Linked DNA regions of Oryctolagus cuniculus. The protein of the gene in region 1 interacts with the protein of each later gene in a pairwise test. Links are inferred from orthologs where the notes say so. Each region holds a gene or a part of one and is shown on either strand. Other genes may lie near its edges. The genes, in order: TACC1 and CKAP5.

The links.
Region 2: the proteins of TACC1 (region 1) and CKAP5 interact in binary tests that used the Homo sapiens proteins (3 or more experiments, as listed by UniProt). The link is inferred for Oryctolagus cuniculus from reciprocal best matches to the Homo sapiens genes TACC1 and CKAP5.

The regions. Positions count from the first base shown.
Region 1 is NC_091433.1:88,578,034-88,581,853, forward strand, and holds part of TACC1 (transforming acidic coiled-coil-containing protein 1), read left to right. Parts: intron 1-199; coding exon 200-360; intron 361-1,069; coding exon 1,070-1,176; intron 1,177-3,820. UniProt on the Homo sapiens protein: Involved in transcription regulation induced by nuclear receptors, including in T3 thyroid hormone and all-trans retinoic acid pathways. Might promote the nuclear localization of the receptors.
Region 2 is NC_091432.1:19,195,632-19,198,532, forward strand, and holds part of CKAP5 (cytoskeleton-associated protein 5), read left to right. Parts: intron 1-777; coding exon 778-861; intron 862-955; coding exon 956-1,115; intron 1,116-2,901. UniProt on the Homo sapiens protein: Binds to the plus end of microtubules and regulates microtubule dynamics and microtubule organization. Acts as a processive microtubule polymerase. Promotes cytoplasmic microtubule nucleation and elongation. Plays a major role in organizing spindle poles.

The DNA.
Region 1 (3,820 bases):
TGAGCAAGTCAGGGTCAGTAGCATTTCCCTCATTCCCATCACTGGGTTTGGAGCTAGTGAGTTACTCGTCAGATACATACAAGGTTGTAGTGAACTCCAGTCCCCCGCTGTGCTGTGGACACTAGAACTTACTGCCTGACTCTGTTTGGTACCTGTTGGACAACTTCCATGCCGTCACTTTTGACTTGTGATTCTCCAGAAGATGAACAGAGGACGAGCATGACCTCCCAGAAGAGCTTCCAGCAGCTGACCATGGAGAAGGAGCAGGCCCTGGCCGACCTTAACTCTGTGGAGAGGTCCCTTTCTGATCTCTTCAGGCGATATGAGAACCTGAAAGGCGTTTTGGAAGGCTTCAAGAAGGTAGTGTGTCCCTGTCCTCCCAGCCCTAGCTGGTGGTGTACTCTTATGGTAAGGGATCACCAAACATAGGCCAGAAGTGTGGGTGACCTTTGAAATAGGGGGACAGGGCCTACTGGCCTTGCAGCTTCTGACTCACTGGGTGGCATGTCCTGGTCATTCCTCTACCGGGTCCCGAGTGGAAGCCTCAGACGTGGTCGGAGTGTAACACAGAGCACAGCACAGGAGCTCTCCACCCAACGTTCTTTTTGGCAATTCACTTTTTCAGTGTTAGCAAAAGTAGAAGGGATTCCATATGGGAAAGATTCAACCTGCAGGTTCTAGAAGAAATTAAGTGTAACATTTCAAACAGAGATGTAAATATGCATATTATTTTACAGCACTGAAAAATCTTCCCTTTCATTTAAAAATAAAAGTGAGACCAGCCAATTTGTCTGGGAATGAAATTGCCATTAAGTTTTAAATAACTACCTTCCTAAGTAGGCATGTCGGTGTAATTGAACCTTACTTTTGTGATGTTGAAATTATTACTTGAAGGAATTATGTAGAATTCTTCAGTGAGAATTGTGTGTGCCTGTTACAAATTGCCATGGGATATAAATTAAGGGCATCTGAATTAATTGTTTTCCCATTTAAAACAATGAAACTGACACATGGTATATTGCTAGTAGAAGAACAAGACAGCTCATTTTAAATGTTCGCCTTGGAACAGAATGAAGAAGCCTTGAAGAAGTGCGCTCAGGATTACTTAGCCAGAGTTAAGCAAGAGGAGCAGCGCTACCAGGCCTTGAAGATGCATGCGGAAGAGAAGCTAGACAAGTAAGAGCCTATAAATTCGACATTTCCCATGGTGCTGTGGGAAGACGTTCAGAGACACAGAAGCAAAATTCACTGTTTTGCAACTTCAGGTTGAATTTGTGTTTTATTTCTTTTTTTTTTTTTTTTTTTAACCATCTCCACATGATTACAACATGAAAAACATAAAAAGGCACATGGTGTCTCCCTCTCAGCTCTGACTCCCACTGAGGTTTCAGCTCCTTCCTCACCCCAGGTACTGTCAGTTCTGTTTTTTCCTCCAGGGTGTACTTTTCTCCCCTTTATACAGACAGTTGTATACCTTGCTTTTGCTCAGTAGTCTGATTTTTTTTTTTTTTTAAGATTTATTTATTTGAAAGGCCAGAGAGAGGTCTTCCATCCACTGGTTCACTCCCCAAATGGCCAGAGCCGGGCCGATCCAAAGCCAGGAGCTTCTTCTGGGTCTCCCATATGGGTACAGGGATCCAAGCACTTGGATCATCTTCTATTGCTTTCCCAGGCCATAGCAGAGAGCTGGGTGGGAAGTGGAGCAGCCAGGACTCGAACTGTCGCCCATATGGGATTCTGGCACTGCAGGCAGCAGCTTTACCCACTAAGCCACAGCACCAATTCCAAGCAGTCTGGTTTTGAAAATCTTTATGGGACCGGCATTGTGGCATAGCTGGTAAGGCTACCACCTTCAGTGCCAGCATCCCATATGGGTGCCGGTTCGAGTCTCAGCTGTTCCACTTCCGATCCAGCTCTCTGCTATGGCCTGGGAAAGCAGTAGAAGATGGCCCAAATGCTTAAGCCCCCGCACCCACTTGGGAGACCTGGAAGAAGCTCCTGGCTCCGGATAGGTGCAGTTCCAGCCGTTGTGGCCAAATGGGGAGTGAACCAGCGGATGGAAGACCTCTCTCTGCCTCTCCTTTGTGTGTGACTCTGACTTTCAAATAAATAAATAAATCTTTTAAAAAAATTTATAAAAGAAATCTTTATGCATCAATCCATGAAGAGCTTCCTTGTTTATTTTTAAACAGCCTCATGGTATTCTGTTGTTGGAATGTATCCTTATTTAACCAATCCCTTCAGTTGGAAATTCAGGTTAGTTAAAATCTTTTGCTGGGGCCAGTGTTGTGGTGGGAAGGGTTAAGCTGCTCTGCTTCCAATCCAAGTTCCTGCTAATGTACATAGAAAAGCAGCAGATAGCTCAAGTGCTTGGGCTCTGCCACCCATGTGAGAGACCTGGGTAGAGTTCCAGACTCCTGACTTGAGCCTGGCCCAGCCCAGCCCTGGCCATTGTGGCCGTTTGGAGAGTGAACCAGCAGATGGAAAAAAATGTCACTCTGCCTTTCAAATACGTGAAATACATCTTTAAAATCTTTTCCTTCTGTAACAACGCTGCAATAAGTAACCTTGTAGATTATCATTTTGCACGCATGCGAGTTATCCTTATGACATACAGGAGAGAAAAGCAACTATTGGGCCAAAGAATATATGAATTTGTAAATAGGAAAATAGACATAAATGTATTTCAGCAATCAGAATTCATGTATTTGCTTTACTATACATTATTATTGTACATTTTTGGGTTGATTTATGCATTTTAAGTATTAGGGACACCAGCCCCTTGTGATATGAATTATGAATAATTTTTCCAGTTTCTAATTTACCTTTTTTACTCTTTCTATGGTACTTTTGGTATATAGGAATTTCCTCTTTTTTTATTTAAGATTTATTTATTTGAAAGGCAGATTTAGGTATCTTCCATGCACTGGTTCACACCCCAAATGGCTGCAATGGCCACGACTAGGCCAGGAGCTTCATCTGGGTCTCTCATGTGAGTGCAGGGTCCTAGCACTTGGGTCATCCTCTGCTGCTTTCCTAGGCATGTTAGCAAGGAGCTGAATAAGAAGTGGAGCAGCTGGGATTTGCACTGGTACCCACATGGGATGTTAGCATTGCAGGCAGTGGCTTAACCCATTATGCCACGATGCTGGCCCTGTAGAAATTTATTTCTGTGGAGTAAAGTTTATCAGGCATTTCTTCTACAGCTTATGTATTTCCTGTCATAGGAACAGAGATCTTCACCATTCTGGATGGGAAATAATCTCTCTCCCATATTTCCCTTCTAATAGTGCTTTAATGGCTTAGGGTTTTTTTGTTTTTTGTTGTTTTTTTTTTTTTTTTTTTAATTTTTTGACAGGCAGAGTGGACAGTAAAAGAGAGAGACAGAGAGAAAGGTCTTCCTTTGCTGTTGGTTCACCCTCCAATGGCCGCCACGGCCGGCGCGCTGCGGCTGGCATACCGCACTGATCTGATGGCAGGAGCCAGGTGCTTCTCCTGGTCTCCCATGGGGTGCAGGGCCCAAGCACTTGGGCCATCCTCCACTGCACTCCCTGGCCACAGCAGAGAGCTGGCCTGGAAGAGGGGCAACAGGAACAGAATCCGGCGCCTCGACCAGGACTAGAACCCGGTGTGCCGGCGCTGCAAGGCGGAGGATTAGCCTAGTGAGCCGCGGCACCGGCTTGTTTTGCTTTCTTTTAAAGATTTATTTATTTTGGGGCTGGCACTGTGGTGAAGTAGGTTAATCCTCCTCCTGCAGCACCAGCATCCCATATGGGCACTGGTTCTAGTCCTGGCTGCTCCTCTTCTGATCCAGCTATCT
Region 2 (2,901 bases), on another chromosome or scaffold:
AGGGCCTGTGGGGAGGGTCCAGGAAGTGGTTAATGCTGTGGTGCTGTAACCGTTTCCATCTTGAAGTTTTGCAATGTGAGTTACATCTGTGCGCATTTTGACCTCCAAGAAAGATCTCTGTGTCTGTGCCTAAGGCATTGGTGAGCAGATAAATCCACTGTGAACTTTGCTTAATTCAGGAGAATGGGCCAATTCCTCCTTCATCAAGTTGAGGTGAAAACCTGAGGCGGAGCCGGCGCCGTGGCTCAATAGGCTAATCCTCCACCTTGCGGCGCCGGCACACCGGGTTCTAGTCCCGGTTGGGGCGCCGGATTCTGTCCCAGTTGCCCCTCTTCCAGGCCAGCTCTCTGCTATGGCCAGGGAGTGCAGTGGAGGATGGCCCAGGTGCTTGGGCCCTGCACCCCATGGGAGACCAGGAAAAGCACCTGGCTCCTGGCTCCTGCCAGGATCAGCGCGGTGCGCCGGCTGCAGCGGCGGCCATTGGAGGGTGAACCAGCGGCAAAGGAAGACCTTTCTCTCTCTGTCTCTCTCTCACTGTCCACTCTGCCTGTCAAAAAAAAAAAAAAAAAAAAAGAAAACCTGAGGCGGAAGCATTCAGTAACCAGAGCGCCAGTGTTGTACTTTTTGCTTTAGGTGCTAGAGTGTTGATGCTTCTGCTGTCCACAGAGACACACCGGGAAGGTCCAGACCTTGAGAGATTTTTTCCTGTTCCCATCTAGCCATTGGTTCCTATTAACAACTCTAACCAGTTCTTCCTTGTGTCTTCTAATTTTTCAGGATGAAAAATCATCGAAGGCCAAAGTGAATGATTTCTTAGCTGAGATTTTTAAGAAGATTGGCTCTAAAGAGAATACTAAAGAGGTGAGAATAAAAAGGCTAACCTCAGTGAGGGTCTCCTTTATGAAAAGGGGGCACTGGCATCTACCCACACCTTTTCCTTTTTCTTGTTCACCAGGGCCTAGCAGAGTTATATGAATATAAGAAGAAATACTCAGACGCCGACATCGAACCATTTCTGAAAAACTCCTCACAGTTCTTCCAGAGCTATGTTGAAAGAGGCCTCAGGGTGATTGAGATGGAAAGGGAGGGCAAAGGCCGAATTCCCACTTCAACAGGTATGGGTTCCCTTAGCAGCTCCAGGAATGGGCTCATCAGCTTCATTCCTGAACTCAGCATGTTGAAAACTAGGCTCCTGATATCCCCTAAGCCTGTGCATTTGTGTTCTTTTCCTGTTTGGTGGAAGGCAGTTTGTCCTTCTAGTTGCTCAGATCCAAAGCTTTTGAGTCTTCTTTTCCTCTCCTTCAGGAAATCCTTTAGGCTATACCTGCAGATTGTATGCAGATCCACATCACCACCACCTCCACTACCCTGTACCCTGTCCTCACTTTTCCCTGCTACCTCCTTGCTCCAGGGCATCGTTATCTCTTACCTGGATGACAGCACCTCTCCTCTCTGATCTCTCTGCCTTCGCCCTTACCTCTATTTCTTCTCCATGCCTAGTATCAGAATGACACTTCACCATTCCCCAGAGACACTCACTTGTGCCCAGCAAAAGCCCTTACAAAGGTCCTGCATTGCATGGCCCTGACACTCTGGGAGCTCTCTCCTAATGCCCTCCCCAGCTGGTCTTCCATCCAAGCCAGCCACCAGCCCCCTTGCTGTTTCTGGAACACACAGGCTCCTTGGGTTCCAGTCCTGGCCGTTTCTTACATGTAGAATACTCTCCTAAAACACTCATGTTAGTCAGCCCCCTTTCCTTTTCAGATCCTTGTTCCTTTACCATTCCAATGAGATCTTATTTAAAACCTCTGATATACTCCTCACCCTGCTGCAATATGTGCCACCTCTGACATACCATCCAATGTGGCACTGGCCAGGTTAATTATTCAGTGTGTCTCTCCCTGCCTGTGTATGTGTATGTGTATGTGTATGTGGGTGTGTGTCTGCACGTGCACAAAGCAAAAGGATTTTTGTCTGGTTTGTTGCCTGGAACATAACAGGTATTCAGTATTTGTAAATGACATGAATGAATGCTTACTCCAAGTTGAAGTTGAAATGTTGCTGTCCTCACAGTGAACTAGCTACTGTCTGAGATTTACTACCCACAGGATCTGGAATCCTAAGAAAGATTTAGGAGGTTTCAGTCATAGAAGAAAGCTGTTGTGAGCCTGAAGCCAAGAAGATACACCCAGCTTCCTCAGTTCCCTCGTCAGGACAGAATAGAGCTCTCAGCACTGTCCCACGTGGGGTTATGTCCAAGTTGAGGGACGCACACCTACTCTTGCCTTGAAGTGTGTGTCTGCCTATGGAACCGTGTTCCTTTGTGAGTCCCAGACTCCAGTCATGGTCTCTCACTGCATGTATCTTGCTAGGCTGAAGCTTCAGCTGTTTCTCTTAACCAGTTAGACTTTTACATTTCACACCTCAGATGACCCCTCCCCAAGACCTTGAGAGTCTGTCTTGAAGTGTGGTGAGCAGAATGTCCAGTAACATTCCACGATTGCACAGACCATAGTTTGGGTGATTGGGGAAAGGCCTCCTTTTCACGTCTGCCGAGTCCTTTCTAGTGATGTCCAACATTTGATATTTTTGGACAAACAGTGCATTTGCGACACACGTGTGCTTGGTTTCCTGCCCTGGCGTATTCACTCTCTGTTGGCTGTGACGTTCTTCGTGTTTCACTGCTGCACAGTATTCTCATCGTTACGATAAAGATGTAAACGTCACTTTCCTGTTTGTCACAAGGCAGTTTTTCCTCCTAGTATCTTATCTCACGGGCCTGCGTAATGCATTTTCTAGTGACAGCAAATTTGGTATTTTGAATGCTTACATTTTGTGATTGTCCCTTCTCAGAAATTTGGAGACTGTGGCAGAGTTTGTTGTTATTTAGGTTTAGGTTTT